4 linked regions of the Callithrix jacchus genome follow. The protein of the gene in region 4 purifies or fractionates together with the protein of the main gene of each other region. This does not show direct contact. Links are inferred from orthologs where the notes say so. Each region holds a gene or a part of one and is shown on either strand. Other genes may lie near its edges. The genes, in order: PPP6C, PPP6R1, PPP6R2 and ANKRD52.

Region 1 (4,354 bases), on a different chromosome or scaffold from region 4:
AAATCGCGCCATTGCACTCCAGCCTGGGTAACAAGAGCGAAACTCCGTCTCAAAAAAAAAAAAAAAAAAAAAAATACAAAAAATTAGCTGGGCATGGTGGCGCGTGCCTGCAATCCCAGCTACTGAGGAGGCTGAGGCAGAATTGCCTGAACCCAGGAGGCAGAGGTTGCGGTGAGCCCAGATCGTGCCATTGCACTCCAGCCTGGGTAACAAGAGCGAAATTCCATCTCAAAAAAAAAAAAGAAAAGAAAAAAAGAAAAACAAATAGAAGCAAAGTATAATGCAGTTGTGTTCAATAGGAAATAAAATGGTCTAAAAACTATATTTCATTAAGGTAAGAAGGAAATCTAATGTTTATCAAAGTAAGAGGTCCAAAGAAGTCCAACAGATTCTTTTTTTTTTTGTGAGATGGAGTCTCCCTCTGTCACACAGGCTGGAGTGCAGTGGCTTGATCTTGGGTCACTGCAACCTCCACCTCCTGGGTTCAAGCAATTCACCCTGCCTCAGCCTCCCAGGTAGCTGGGATTACAGGCACTCACCACCACGCCAGGCTAATTTTTGCATTTTTTAGTAGAGATGGGGTTTCCCATGTCGATCAGGCTAGTTTCGAACTCCTGACCTCAGATGATCCGCCCACCTTGGCCTCCCAAAGTGCTGGGATTATGCCATGCCTGAGACGTTATCATAAAAAAAAAAAAAACATTTTATTTATCATAAACACAAAGTTTAAAAAAGCTTTACACATGATAAATAAAAAGAAAAAATTCCAAATCAATTCACTGACATGCAATAGTCAACCTCACCTACAGGATTAATAATGCTACTAAGAGGTCTGGTTAGTTTTCCATGAATTGGATCCCAATGCTAGTTGTATTCTTATTCCAAAAAAAAGAAAAAAGAAACACGCATAGCAGAAAGAAGCCACAAAACAAATGTCTGAAGGACTGATGAGTATGTATGCTACATTGCTACTAATGAAGGCTCTATCCTTATTTTAAATTATCCTATTAAAAATGGGAGCATACACAAGAATGACTCCCCTATAATATGCTTCATAAAATTAACATATAAGTACAATTCAGTTACATTCACAACAGCATGTGTGGCCTCAAACATTATGCATACTTGTTGACTTATGTTAAGTATCAACTTCCAATACCAAAGAAGAAACAAACAAAACCCACAGTAATATATTTCTTGAAGAATACACTAAGATAAATAACTAGCACAAGCTGATAAGCACTGCTAGAAACCTAATAAGCACTGGTTTCACCAAATGCATAAACACTTTTCAAAAAAGCAGCATACCTAGGACGGGTGCGGGGGCTCACGTCTGTAATCCCAGCACTTTGGGAAGTTGAGGTGGGCGGACCAATTGAGGTCAGGAGTTCGAGACTAGCCTGGCCAACATGGCAAAAACCCGTCTCTACTAAAAATACAAAACAGCCGGGTGTCAGCCACCTACTCGGGAGGCTGAGGCAGGAGAATCACTCGAACCCAGGAGGCAGAGGTGCAGTGAGCCAAGATCGCGCCACTGCACTCCAGCCTGGATGACAGAGTGAGACTGTTTCAATAAAAAATAATGATGGAAGGGAGCGGTGGCTCACATCTGTAATACCAGCACTTTGGGAGGCCAAGGCGGGCAGATCACGAGGTCAGGAGTTCAAGATCAGCCTGGCCAACATGGTGAAACGCCATCTCTACTAAAAATACAAAAATGAGCCAGACGTGGTGGCATGTGCCTGTAATCTCAGCTGCTCAGGAGGCTGAGGCAGGAGAATCGCTTGAACCCAAGAGGCGGAGGCTTCAGTGAGCTGAGATCAAGCCACTGCACTTCAGACTGGGCGGCAGAGACTCCGTCTCAAAGAAAAATAAAATAAATAAATAAATAATAAGTTGAAAAGAAAAGCAGTATATCAAACTCATTCCTTTACCCATACATACATTTACTTGGACTCAAGGGCAACGAGGAACTCGTCTTCTTTAGAAAACCAAGAAAACGAAATCTTGAGTTAAGAAGGGGTTAAGGGGAAAGTATTTGTATTTATTAAGAACCAACTACTTTCTCCACTTCAGTAAGCTCAACAAAATACTCAGAAACGGGTTCACCTCTGAATTAGCAGAAGAAAACCCACGGTCCTAAAAGGCAATTTGGAGAAGGTGGAGGAGTGGCAGAGAAGAGGGACGATCTGACATTCGCTCTCGTCAGTACCAAACCACTCGGACCCACCGCCTTCCCCTTCCTCAGAGACCTAAACAAACTGGGGCCGCGTTGCAAGAGCCTGTGGCAACTCCTGTCAGACGCCGGCCACTCTGCGCTCCTGTCACCTCCAACGGGGACGATCCCATCCCGAGGGCACTGCCGCGGGGGCTCGGCAGTGAATGCCGGAGATCCCGGGAAGGGGTGGAAAGCTGCTAAGCAAAGCTGTTGCAGCTACGGGTCCTGGGGCAGCCCGAAGGCCAAAAGGGGCGACCCTGGGGTAGAGGCCGCGAAATCCCTTGGGATACCCACTGAGGCAACTAGGACATCATTTGGGGGACTTGGTTCCCCCAACCATTGGCGTGACGCCGGGTCGGGCCGGGTCGCATGGCATCGGAGAGGGCCCTCCACCGCGGAGAGACGGGATACCCGGCGGGGGTCCCACGAAGAGAGGAAGGGCGGGCCGGCGGGCGCCCCACAGCCGGAAGGGGCGAGCCTGTAAGCAGCGCTCCCGCCCCGGCAGGGCTCACCTTCAGGTCGTTCTCTGGCAGGTATTTGCACAGCCGCGCTATCTCCACATACTTGTCTAGGTCTAGCGGCGCCATTTTGAGAATAACAAGCCGCGGCGACAGCGGCGGGGTCGGCGGCGGCGGCGGCTGTAAAAGCAGCGGCGGCGGCGGCAGCGGCGGAGGCCGAAGCCGGAACTCTCCTACGTCACGTCCGGACCGTGAGTGGCGTCTGCGCAGCGCCGTTAAAGCGCGACCCGCTTCTCCCCGCTACCTCGGTACGCCCGGCGCCCCCTCTGGCTGAACCCCGGCTGCAGGCCCCAAGAGGCCCCCCCATCGGTCCAGCCTGCGAATTCTGATGGGACCCGTAGTCGCCTGCCGCGGGTGTTGCCGGGATTTGTAGTTTTCCGTTGTGGACAGCCACCCCTTTCTTTTCCTCCCCTTCAGTTCCTCCAGACTTTCACCTCCCGGCAGCGGGCGAGGCTTTTCCGAGGCAAAACGGCGGAGTAGGTCGTCCTAGCCACTCACTCGTTTCTCCTTCCAACCCTTTTAAGCACTCTCTCACTTTCACTTAACAACTGGGTAAGCCTGGCCGTAGTAACTTGTTTGCATCTTTCCAAGTGCCTGTGAAAACCTCGCTTAAGCCTGTGGCACAAATGTCAGGCTCCAGCCTGAAAGGAAGATAAAGAAATATTAAAGCATTTCTTGGCCGGGCGCGGTGGCTCACGCCTATAATCCTAGCACTTTGGGAGGCCGAGGCGGGTAAATCACGACATCAAGAGATCGAGACCATCCTGGGCAACAAGGTGAAACCCCGTCTCTACTAAAAATACAAAAATTAGCTGGGCATGGTGGTGGCGCCTGTAGTCCCAGCTACTCGGGAGGCTGAGGCAGGAGAATTGCCTGAACCCAGAAGGCGGAGGTTGCGGTGAGCCGAGATCATGCCATTGCTCTCCAGTCTGGGTAACAACAGCGAAACTCCATCTCAAAAAAAAAAAACATTTCTTATGCTAAATGCGATACAAATTCTATTTTTCCATTTAATCTTTGTAACAATTGGTAGGAAAGTGAGACTTGGAGGCTTTAAGTAGTTTACCCCAAATCTCACAGGGAACAAATGGTGGGGCCAAGATTGGAAAATGGCTTAAGCTTAAGCATACTTCCAGTGAGAATCCCACGAAGGCAGGGAGTTTTCTGCTGTGACTCCAGCACGGAGAACAGTACCGCATACCTTCAGTAGTTTATTCAACCGCTCTTTATTGAGCAACAAAGATGTACCAGGTACAGCTGCAGGCGCTTGGAATACTTAGTGAACAAAATAGACAAAGATCTCTATCCTATCTGTAGCTACAAAAACTACCAAATTTAGCCGGGGGCAGTAGTGCGTGCTTGTGGTCCCAGCTACACTGGAGGCTGAGGCAGAAGAATCGCTTGAGCCCAGGAAATGGAGGTTGCAGTGAGCTGAGATCGTGTCACTGCACTCCAGCTTGGGGGACAGAGCGAGATCCTCAAAAATAAATAAAATAAAATTAGTAAAAGGAAGCTGCTGTATGGGACTGGGGTGGGGGTGCAATAGCTCTAGCTAAGAGATCAGTTAGGAGACTGTTATGTCATCCAATTGTAGCAGGTGCGCAATACATATTTGTTG
Region 2 (3,053 bases), on a different chromosome or scaffold from region 4:
GAATAAGCACCCTCCCCTGCTAGCTGAGCCAGCCCTAGGTGACCTCCAAACCAGCTGCCACCGCAGTGAGGACACTGTCCTCATGACCCGGCCCACATGGTCCGGTGTAGCCGAGACAGAGGCTTCCTGGCACCGCTCCCCTGTTCCACTTGCTGTGCACCGGCCTACACTTCTACCTTCCGGCTCAAAGACTCAGACATACTGGGCACCACTGCCCGGCCTCAATGCTGGGCTTGGTTACCAAAGGGGGGTAGGAGCAGGGATTTGAGCCCCCGATGGCAGCTTCCATCCTCCACCCTCGGCCCTGCCCACAGGTGGGGTAGGCCTGGCAGGAGCCATCACAGCCAGTGCCTGGCCCAGCCTGTGGCCTCTGTAGCCACAGGGCTCCCTCTGGCAGGACACAGTGTGGGGGCAGACTGGGTTAGGAGTACCCCAACCGCTGGGGTACAGGGATAACACAGGCTGCCCTCCCCGCATCCCAGAATGTACGGTCTGACCAGCAGAATCGTAAACTGTCTTCCTTTATTTATATTTGCAATATGAAATAGAAGCTCGGCACGAACGCACACACACTCACACCAGCCTGGGAGGAAGGAGCTTGGACAAGGCCACTTGGCAACAGGGCTGGGACCCCAGACCCTCAGGGACCCTGGGGGTGTTGCCGGGGAGGCCCCTGCTCCCCAGAGCCGGGCTGGCCTGGTTGAAAGTGCAGGGTCTGGGCAAAGGCACGGCCCCCACGCGGGACCCTCTGGCACCCCCACCCTCACTTGGGCTGTCCCTCATGGTGGACCTGAGCTGAAAGGCCGGGTGTGGGCATGGCCATCTGTGCCTGAGCGTAGGATGGCTGGGCACGTGGGCGGCAACCTTGGACCCCTACCACCAGCCCCCACTGGGACAGGACGGGAAGCTGTGCTTCGGGCCGCCAGCCCAGCTCGGTGTTCTCACCTTCTCTCCCTCTCCTCCCTCTCCTCCCTCTCTCTCTTTATATAATATATAATAGACATTTCTCTCTCTCCATTCTCTCTATTTGACTCTCTTTATCTTTATTCTAGGAGGCAATGCTCCAAAACTTCTATTCTCAGTGCAAATGGGGTTGGGTTGGGCCTGTCTCCCTGGCACCAGCCTCCTGGGGGTCCAAAGGAGAGAATGTGGGGGGGTCAGGTGATGAGGGCAACGGGGGCCATCATGGGACTCGCCCTGCCCCCACCCTGGGAGATCCATGGGAGGACGGATGATTTGGCAGCTGCTGCCACACCAGGCAGCTACCTGCAAACAGAGAGAGATGTCGTGTGAGGGTCCAGCAGGCCCAGCCCCACCTGCCCAGCCCCAGGCTGCAGCCACACTCACTGAGAGCCCGGTGATGCAGGCCCTTCCGGGGCAGAGCCATTGGGCACTGGAGGAGGTGTGAGGGCCTGGGCACTGTCACGGGAGGGAGGGGATGTGCAGAGGTCACTTCCTGCCCGCCAGCCCTGCCCTGCCCTGCCCCGCTGCCCTGGTACTCACCTCTGGCTTTGGGTAAGCCCCAAAGGCTCTGGGCTCTTCTCCCCATCTGTGGTCTGTGGGGGCTGGTGGGCCCCGGAGGCTGGGACAGAGGTAGAGGGGTCTCTGGTTGCACTGTGGGTGAGAGGCAGGTGCAACTGTCAGCGTCACCTGCTGACACCCTCACACCCCTGACAATTTCAGTTGGCTCACTGGGTGTCCGCCACTTGCCCCACCAGAAGGGGCCTCCCGAGCACGAAGCTAGCTCAGTGCAGAGGGACTGCACAGCTCTGGGCAAGAGGACAAGCACCTCCCTTCATGTTCCTGTCCCTGTGGAGGAGTTGCTCGAGGCCGGTTGGGACAGCCCCAAGGGGTCTCCTGCATGCTCTCACCCTCCCAATCCTTCACAACCTCCAGGGAGCCTTTTCCAACCCTGGGGGCCCTGAGCATCCCAGGCTACTAAGAGAAGAACCAGCCTGCAGAGTGCAGGGGGCTGGGGCATGACATGAGGCTGGGCCTGGGGGTCCTGCAAGGGTCACCTGGAGCAGCTCAGGGACAAGACAAACCCAAGCCCACCTCACTGAGGAGGAGAAAAGACTTCTCCTGATACCAGCCCCTCCCCACAGTAAGCCCCACCTCATTGCTCACCTGTCCGAGGAGTTGGGGGCAGAACGGATCCCGTGGAAGGTGGCCTGGAGGTCCCCGACGCTGACCAAGGCCTGGCAGGGGGCTGTGGGGGATGAGAGGTCTCAGCCGCAGCATCCCAGCAAGCTCAGAGCTGGCCAGGCTGCTCTCTCTGCCCAAGGCCACAGGTGGGCAGGGCAAAGAGGGGCTCACCTGAGGGCTCCACGACTTTGCTGCCGTCCATGGCTTCCTGAGGTGCTGAGGGGTTTGTGGGGTCCTGAGACCTGGCAGGCGAGAGAGGCAGCCCAAGGGGGCAGCTAGGGTCAGCGCTCAAGCCTACAAGAGAACTGGGAGGCCATGACCACCTCCTGGCCTCGGGATACCAGCGCCATCCAGCCCGTCCCGTCTGGTTCTCACCTGAGCTGCAGGGCATCATGAGCTGGAGGGCTGGCCAGGCTCTGGGTGGGGAAGCCCTGGGGCACAATGAGGGGCCCCTGTGGGGCTGGAGGCCCAGTGTGCAGCTCTTCCTCCCCGGAGACTCGGGGGCTGGTCAGGGCATCCGTAGGCACTGGGTCAAAGGTGGCGGTCCAGCCGGGGCCTGGGGTAGAGGTGGGGGGGTGGGCAGCAGAGGATGAGCTTAGCAGCAGGCCGACAGCCTGTGGATGCCTGACCACACCGCCTGTTCATTCACCTGGAGGCTGAGGACCAGGGCTGGGGTAGGACAGCAGGGTGGCCCCTCCACGGGCTGCACAGCCAATGCCCTCCTCGTCTTCCTCCTCCTCCTCCTCCTCCTCTTCTTCGTCCTCACTGTCTGTGCTGCCTCCACTCCTGCCCCAGAAACCACCTTGTCAGTCAGCTGTGTGGGACAGACCAGCCAACCACCATCTGGTTCCCTGCAGCCAGGATCAGCCCAAGGAGGGTGGGCTGAAGTGACCAGCAGGGAGCCTGGG
Region 3 (3,614 bases), on a different chromosome or scaffold from region 4:
GGCGGGCGCCATGCAGGCGGGCATTCCCCAGGGGCTCCTCCAGCACACCGATGGTGGTCAGGATCGCCTTCTTCTGCAAACACAGACAGCACCACCCAGTTAGGTCCCGTGGGCAGTGAGGCCACTGGTGGACTCTCTAGGCTCATGCCCACCACTCCAGGTGAGTGAGGTATGTGGTGGGGGTTCCTGAGGGAGGGCTGTCTGCCAGAAGAAATGAAGGGATCAATGGGGTGAAGGGCCGGCTGTTCCCCTCAGGGCTTCACAGAGCGCTCCTAGAATGCTCATGGGCACTCCAGTCTGAGCCTGCAGGGCTACAGAGCCGTGCACCTTGGTGGGTGAGACGTCCAAGATGGGGCCAGCAGTACCAGTCAGAGGCCAGAACCCCTGGCACGATGCCTCGGTGAGGATGTCCACGGGGCACCCTCCAGGGACAGGACTTCAGAACACCAAGTTAACAGGTGTCCTGTGAACACACTTCGGGGACACATGAGAATGCCTCCTTGGATGGGCCTCAGGTCTTTCTGATCCCCCACACTCAGCATAACACATCTACCTTCTTTTCACTGAAGGCTCCAGGCTGACAAAACAGAATCCCGGCCCCCACGGAGCTTACTAGTGGGGCAGGTGGATCTTACCAAAGTGGCAAGTGAGAGGAACTGAGCTGTAGGTCAAGTGGGTGCCACGCAGCAGTGGTGGGGCTGTGTCTGGGGAAGGTGAGAAAAAATGTGGGGGCAGCCTGCCTGTGTCTGGGGAGGGTGAGATGGGATGGGGGGGCAGTCTGGCTGGCAGTCTTGAGCTGGAAGGAGCCTTTGTGTGCTTCACCCTCCTCAACAGGACCCACGCACCGACCAGTGCTGCTGAATGGGGCAAAGGGCCTCCCCTGAAACCCCCTGGTCCCCTCTCAGGAGCTGAGCATCCCTTAGCCAGATGCCCCCAACTTGGAGGCTAGGCCTATGGTGACCTCAGGGTCAGCTGCCTGAGGAGGCTGTAAAATGTACAACTCCCAGGCCTCCCTTGCAGACGCAGAGATGAACATTTGCAGATCGAGCAGGGGAGCAGTCCTGAAAACGTGTGTTTTGGCATCTGCCGGGTGCTTCTCAAGTAGGGGTGTGGGAATGGCCATCTTAGAACACATTCACTCCACACACTGCTTCCTGTGGGACAAGCTGTGGATTCCTCTCCCTGCAAATCATCCTCTCCCGCGATGCCTCCAAAGGTGCTCGCAGTCACCATGGCCATTTACCTTGGGTGGGTTGAGCAGGAGCTGGTGGAAGTCCTTCAGCCGAGGCTCGATGCCATGTAGCACGCTGCTGCTGACAGTGTACGACCTTTCCAGTCCCTGAGAAAAGGAGTCCACCAAGCCCTCTGTCCTGTGGGTGAGGAAAGCAGATGGAGACTGGGGACACCAGGGCCCGTTCCAACTTCACCAGCAACTCAGCGCATCATCGTCTTCCAGAAAAAGCTCTTTTAACTTTCCCAAAAAGAAATCCTAGAGGAGTGCAACGACTGAAGGCCTCCACACACGATCTGGTGACTGGTACAGGCAGAAGAGAAAGGCACTAAAGACCTTCAGGAAAACACTTGCTTGTGACGTCCAAGAACATGAAGCCAGGGCAAGTGACACAGAACTCACTGCCCGTTGCCCCCAGCACATCGGGGGGCTGCTCTGTCCTCCTGCTTTGAAAAGCGCCACTGCTAACCCTGTATCTTCACTGTTCCTGTGTGGTGGTGGTCTTGAGCCAGAGTCTCACTCTGTTGCCCAGGCTGAAGTACAGTGGTGCGATCTTGGCTCACTGCAACCTCTGGCTCCGGCGTTCAAGCAATTCTCCTGCCTCAGCCTCCTGAGTAGCTGCGATTACAGATGCCTGACACTACCCCCAGCTAATTTTTGTATTTTTAGTAGAGACGGGGCTTCGCCACATTGGCCAGGCTGGTCTTGATCGCCTGACCTCAGGTGATCCACCCGCCTCAGCCTCCCAAAGTGCTGGGATTACAGGTGTCAGTGACCACGCCTGGTCCCTGTGGTGTTTTCAAGCAAGTCTTCTGAGATATTTTTAAAACACTTTTTCCAGTTGTAAAAGTAATACATAATCGGGGCCGGGCGTGGTGGCTCACGCCTGTAATCCCATCACTTTGGGAGGCCAAGGCGGGTGGATCACAAGGTCAAGAGATCGAGACCATCCTGGTCAACATGGTGAAACCCCGTCTCTACTAAAAATACAAAAAATTAGCTGGGCATGGTGGCACGCGCCTAAAATCTCAGCTACTCGGGAGGCTGAGGCAGGAGAATTGCCTGAACCCAGGAGGCAGAGGTTGTGGTGAGCCGAGATCGCGCCATTGCACTCCAGCCTGGGTAACAAGAGCAAAACTCTGTCTCAAAAAAAAAAAAAAAAATCAATATTCCAGTTGCCCAACTAGAGAAACAATAACATTATAACTCTACTTTTGGTTAATAAACTAACAAATATGTATGAGGTAGTACGAGAGGGAGGGAGGGAGGGAGGGTGAGAGGGAGGGGAAGTCCTAACAATTTCACTACCAAAGTTAAGTCAATTTCTTGTCATTTTTCTATTGTGCCTTTTTCCTTTACTTTAAAAAAGCACAGGCTATCGGTGTTGGGGGCGGAATGATGTTCTCCCCAGAACTTGGAAATAAGGGTACTATGGCCACCGTGGTAGAGTTAGACATCATCACAGCTCATGATGGAACGGAGCTGACAGAAACATCCTGCAGACTTCAGGTTCCTGCTGGCATGTGGGGAATCTGAATTCAAGGATGGGGTTCAAGGGCCAGCAGGAGGCCAGGAGGGAAAGTGGCAGAGAGCACTGATGTGCTCCTTTTGGTCTCCCAGGCACCCCCCCATCCCAATGCCTCCCTCACAGACTCTCCACTCGGCTGTCTGTCCATTTGCACCTCATGGGCATCCTCCTCAGAGTTTCAAGTGCTTCAGTGGCTCTGGCAGTGCCCAGTCTTCTATGATCTGTGAGGGCAGGACCAGCCCCCACTGTGATCCAGAGCAACAGTTTCAAACACTTCCTGAAATTTCCACCTGGGGTCCAAGAAGGGTCTCCAGCACCTATATCCTCAAACAAACTCAACTTTCACCTGAACCCCCTTCTGATACTATCTAGTCTGTCTCTGCCCATTCACTGTCATGCCTCGCCAGAGCTTCAACAGCTGCACCTGCACTGACGGCAGTGTGGGGTCACAGCAAAGGAGCTCCTCCAAACAAGCTCCACTCACCCCTGCCCACGTATTGTCCCACGCTTGTGTCCACACTGGACCTCCTCACTGTCTCACTCCAGGGGCTGTCTCTGGCCATATGCAGCCTCCCAGGGAAAAAGTCCCTGATCTGTGAGGCTCCATCCACTGGCCCATGTGCGTCCCCCCTTCTTGTGAGCCCGGAGGCACAGGGTACATGTAGACTGCACTCCCCACTGTCATACTGGGAGCAATAAAGGGGGGGAGCTGTGTCTCAGTTCTCTGTCTCCTAGGGCCTGTGTCAGTGCACAGTGGGTGTAGAAATGACACCTGATGAATGGGAAAGTGCAGTGGAGGCCAGTCACTTGGGAACAAAGTGCTCAGCATGATGCTCAGCAGGTGGTGCTGGCCCA
Region 4 (4,361 bases):
ACTCTCTTCAGAAAGGCGTGTATGCAAATATTTTCCACACAAAATCCAGGTTTTATCAACTTCCTGAACTCCAAGTTAAGAATTTTAATCTAGTCTAACCATTCATTTAGTGTGTGAGCTCAAGTGTTTATATTACCATCCGGGCTGCTTCTCCTGCAGGCATGAGGACCCAGAAACAGGGAAAGTAAGTAGGAAGGTAAGAAAAGGGAAGGTAAGGTGGGAACAGTCCTCACCTCAAGATGCCCACTATGCACTGCATGGTGCAGAGCACTGCGTCCACTCCTGTCAGCCACGTTGAGGCTGCTCAACAGGGGTGCCAGAGCCTCAGCACACTTGGTGGCCCGGTTGGCAGCAGCCACATGTAGCGGTGTCTGCCACAGCTTGTCCCGGGCATTCACATCTGCTGAATGTGCCAGCAGCAGCCCCAGCACCTTCTGTTGAGGGGCAGGGGACAAAAGAGAGAGTGGGAGCAGGAGGCAAAACAACAGGAAATAGAAGGAGGAATAGGTCAGCATAGCATATATGGCCCTGTTTTCCCCAGCACAGAGTCTCTTCTCATTTTTCCAACATACCTAGACTCTCAATACCTACTTCCCATCTTCTGGATCTTCTTAGAGCTTAAACTTTTCCTTACCTTGCTAAGGAAACAGGGACCCTTTGCTCTTCAAGCCACCTGACTTGTTAACCTAGACCCTGAAAATCTTCACTCACACTGAAACATGTTCTTTTTTTGCAAAATAAAATTCTTCACTCACACATACATCCATTCCCAAACAAATCCACAAATGCAGAGCCACATATCCCAACCCCCCCACTACTTCTAGGAAAACTAAATGCTCTTGATACGTCTTACCCTGAACATGTAGCCTCCTCATAGGCACTAAAATTATTTTCAGTATCTCAGTAAGCAAACAGATACCGGTTCCTTTGCAAAACCCAGGGTAAAATGCCCCTCCTAACCACTACCCATCTCATTCTCACTGGCCTCGGCCCCTCCCCCTAGTGGCTGGAGCCAGGGAAGTGATGAACTGAGGAGGAGGTCCCCCTTTCCCTCTCTTCAGGGCTGATGGGAATAGGATTAAGGACCCAACTGATGAAATATGTTTGGCCCCTGTGCTGTCGCTGTCAGCTTTCAAGTTGCTTGAGGGCCAAGGATGCAACAGATTATTATACCCATCCCCCATCACAAGGAAAGAAATCTCAGTGCCCAGAGGGGGATCAGACTCAAGGTGGCCCCCCAGGGAGGGATGAGTCACTCAGGCCTGGCAGCAGGGCCCCCGCAGTCTGCCAGCCCAGTGTTAAGCTCTCCCTGAGTCACATCAGCTGGCAGCACTCAGCCCCCTTACCAGCCAGTTCCAGGGGTAGGAGGGAGGGGCCAAGATTTGATCTCCTCCCTACCTGGGGTAGAACAGCTTGTAGGGCTGAGGACTGAGGCTCCTTAACCCTTAACCTCCACCTCTAAGCAACTCATCCTTTTTGAAAGGGTGAAAGAAGGTGGGGGTGCATACCTCATTTCGGGAGGCAGCAGCACGATGAAGAGGGGTCAGCCACAGTGTGTCCTTAGCGTTGACATTAGCACCTGTGGGGATATAATTTCCTGTATTGATGGAAGAGGTGGAGGGGGTGGGAAGAAAGCCAGTAATCAGGCCAGAAAATCTGAATGGAGCTGGAGTCTCGCCTGGACTGAGCAAGGAAGACCAATCCTTGAACATCAAAAAAGACTCCTCCCCTTCCTTCCCTCCCTATGTGCCACACCTTCCAGCTCCCCACTTTCACCTGACATCAGTAGCAACTGGAGGATGGGGACATCGCCTACGTAGGCAGCAGCATGCAATGGAGTTCGCCTCTCTTGGTCCTGGGAAGGCAGAAAAGAGGGACTGTGGGCGGGGGATGTGGGGCTATCAAGGACCCCAGCCCAAGCCTCAGAGCTCCAGGCCCTTCCCCACAACCTCTTCCCATAGTTTCTGCAGCATCTTAAGTCCCGGTACTGGGAGTCAAAGGCAAGCACCTAGGGAGGGTGGAGTCAGGGCCAATGGGCTGAGAAGCCGGCTCCTTTTTCCAGGAGGGGTGGGGGCGCTGCAGACTCCGGTGGTTCAGAAGAGAACAACGTTCCTGGGCATCCCCAGCCCAAGTGATCTGGGCTCCAAGCCTGACCTGCTCTCCATCCCCAAATGCAGAGTAGGCTTTCACTCCAGGATGGAAAGAACTGCGGCCTCTTCTGAGCAGAGGAGACACGGAGCCGCCCCACCGGTGGGGAGGGGTCCAGAACACGGGAGCCAGGATTCCGATCTCGCCATCCTCCCTGCTCCCAACTCACCAGCACATTGATGTTCTCCTTCTGCGAGAGTAGGGAACGCACTTCCTCCACATCTCGGCTAAAGATGGCCTGGACCAGGGGCGGCTGCAGGGAGAACCGGCATTCAGGGAGCGGGCTAGAGCCGGAGCGGAACCGGGGTGGGGGTGGGGGAACACCCAGGTTTGTGGGGGGGCGTCCGTGGAGGGGCTCCGTTCTGGGGATTCTGCCTGCAGCGGGCTCCCGCGGTGCCTCCGCCGGTTGCCAGGTCCCCAAGGACACCGGCTCGGTAGAGGGGAGCGCGGCATGGGGCGGGGCGGGAGCTGCGGGAGCCCCGGGCTCGGGCCCAACCTAGGCCGCACATCCCCGGGCTCGCGTGGCGGCGACGCCGAGCCTTGGAAGGAGGAAGCGAGGAAGGGCAGGAGGGCTGACCTGGTCCGTGATGCTGAGGATCCCCATGGCCCGGCCCGGGCTCCGTCCGCATCGAGCTCCCGGCGGCGGCGGCGGCGGCGGCTCCACCGGGGACACGGAGCGGCCCAGGCGGCGGCTGCGGCGGCGGCTGCGGGGAGAGCGCGGCCCCGCCTACCGGGGGGCGGGCGAGCGGGAGGCCGCAGCGCTCCCTGGCGGCGGTTCTGGGCCCGGCGCTCCCCGCGCAAACTGACCCCGACCGCAGCACTCTCCGCCCCACCCTGGCGGCCCCAGCAGCCCCCGCACCCCCTAACTCGCGCGTCCGCTCCCCGGCTTCCGCAACCGGCCGCGCAGTGCTCTCCGCTCCAGTCTGGCGGCCCAAGAGGTTACCCCACAAGACCCTAGCGGAAACCTGGGCCTTGGTCCCGCGATGCTTTCCAAGCTGAGGACCGAACGGCTGGCCAGATCTCACCCAGCCCACGTTGCTCCCGGCCGAGCTAACTCCTCCCGTCAGCTATTCCACACCCCGAAATCCCCCACAGACTAGGGGGAACTGGCAGGTGGGGAACTGAGAATTAGGTATGGCAATAGCCCCAGAGGGAGGGAAGACGTGTATCTCCACTGGCGGAGGGGTGAGTTCGGTAGAAAAGAAATAGCAAAGTGCTCAAACTGCAGAGAAACCCCAAGGAGGATTCTACTGCAGAAAACACCCACAAAGAGGCCATGACAACTGGCAGCTGGAAGAGACGGCCGAGATCAACAGAAGGAGCATTTTCCAACTCCTTAATGACTCCATTGCAAGGTTAAAGTGGAAAACACTCAACAATTTCTCCTTAGAACAGCATGCGGTGTTTCCCCTCCTCCAATGGAGATGCCGGAGAGCCGTCAGTTAGAGAAGAAATGAATGGAGGTCATCCCGGCCCAGAAACAGAAAAAAAAAAAGGAAGACGAAAAGTGGAGATTGAAAAATTGGTACAATTTATAAAAGGTGATCCAGAGTCCTGCTCAGAGTTTTACAACTCAATACATTGAAAGGAACATGTAATGGAAGAAGTATAGCATGCTGGCATCCTGTCAAGTCTTTATATATAAAAGGCCTCCCTTGCTGGGAGAGGAAAAAATAAAAATACATTTTATTTTATTTTATTTTATTTTGAGACGGAGTTTTACTCTTGTCACCCAGGCTGGAGTGCAGTGACACAATCTTGTCTCACTGCAACCTCTTCCTCCCGGGTTCAAGTGATTATCCTGTCTCAGCCTCCCGAGTAGCTGGGATTACAGGCATGCACCACCACGCCCAGCTCATTTTGTATTTTTAGTAGAGACAGCAGGGTTTCTCCATGTTGCTCAGGCTGGTCTCGAAATCCTGATCTCAGGTGATGTGCCTGCTTCAGCCTCTCAAAATACTGGGATTACAGTACTTACAGGTGTAAAACACACGCCGGGCCTAAATTTTTTTTAGTTTTTACAGTGTTGAAAATAAAAGTTGGCCAGGCACAGTGGCTCATGCCTGTAATTTCAGCACTTTGGGAGGCCCAGGCAGGCAGATCACAGGGTCAGGAATTCAAGACCAGCCTGGCCAACATAGTGAAACCCCATCTCTACTAAAAATACAGAAAAACTAGCTGGGCATGGTGGCACGTGCCTATCGTCCCAGCTA

Evidence for each region.
Region 1: the proteins of ANKRD52 (region 4) and PPP6C purify together in Homo sapiens (affinity purification with mass spectrometry; 6 studies listed by BioGRID and IntAct, with this or other methods). This does not show direct contact. The link is inferred for Callithrix jacchus from reciprocal best matches to the Homo sapiens genes ANKRD52 and PPP6C.
Region 2: the proteins of ANKRD52 (region 4) and PPP6R1 purify together in Homo sapiens (co-immunoprecipitation; 3 studies listed by BioGRID and IntAct, with this or other methods). This does not show direct contact. The link is inferred for Callithrix jacchus from reciprocal best matches to the Homo sapiens genes ANKRD52 and PPP6R1.
Region 3: the proteins of ANKRD52 (region 4) and PPP6R2 purify together in Homo sapiens (affinity purification with mass spectrometry; 3 studies listed by BioGRID and IntAct, counting the BioPlex papers as one, with this or other methods). This does not show direct contact. The link is inferred for Callithrix jacchus from reciprocal best matches to the Homo sapiens genes ANKRD52 and PPP6R2.

What each region holds. Positions count from the first base shown.
Region 1 is NC_133502.1:173,787,265-173,791,618, forward strand, and holds the start of PPP6C (serine/threonine-protein phosphatase 6 catalytic subunit), read right to left. Parts: upstream 2,901-4,354; 5' UTR 2,806-2,900; coding exon 2,731-2,805; exon of another isoform or gene 2,513-2,730; intron 1-2,512.
Region 2 is NC_133523.1:48,097,792-48,100,844, forward strand, and holds the end of PPP6R1 (serine/threonine-protein phosphatase 6 regulatory subunit 1), read right to left. Parts: intron 2,932-3,053; coding exon 2,795-2,931; intron 2,702-2,794; coding exon 2,521-2,701; intron 2,388-2,520; coding exon 2,317-2,387; intron 2,210-2,316; coding exon 2,128-2,209; intron 1,615-2,127; coding exon 1,504-1,614; intron 1,420-1,503; coding exon 1,348-1,419; coding exon of another isoform or gene 1,344-1,347; intron 1,267-1,343; coding exon 1,263-1,266; 3' UTR 506-1,262; downstream 1-505. UniProt on the Homo sapiens protein: Regulatory subunit of protein phosphatase 6 (PP6). May function as a scaffolding PP6 subunit. Involved in the PP6-mediated dephosphorylation of NFKBIE opposing its degradation in response to TNF-alpha.
Region 3 is NC_133502.1:218,986,342-218,989,955, reverse strand, and holds part of PPP6R2 (serine/threonine-protein phosphatase 6 regulatory subunit 2), read right to left. Parts: intron 1,371-3,614; coding exon 1,244-1,370; intron 74-1,243; coding exon 1-73. UniProt on the Homo sapiens protein: Regulatory subunit of protein phosphatase 6 (PP6). May function as a scaffolding PP6 subunit. Involved in the PP6-mediated dephosphorylation of NFKBIE opposing its degradation in response to TNF-alpha.
Region 4 is NC_133510.1:63,388,153-63,392,513, reverse strand, and holds the start of ANKRD52 (serine/threonine-protein phosphatase 6 regulatory ankyrin repeat subunit C), read right to left. Parts: upstream 2,868-4,361; 5' UTR 2,753-2,867; coding exon 2,726-2,752; intron 2,402-2,725; coding exon 2,318-2,401; intron 1,856-2,317; coding exon 1,777-1,855; intron 1,580-1,776; coding exon 1,509-1,579; intron 435-1,508; coding exon 234-434; intron 1-233. UniProt on the Homo sapiens protein: Putative regulatory subunit of protein phosphatase 6 (PP6) that may be involved in the recognition of phosphoprotein substrates.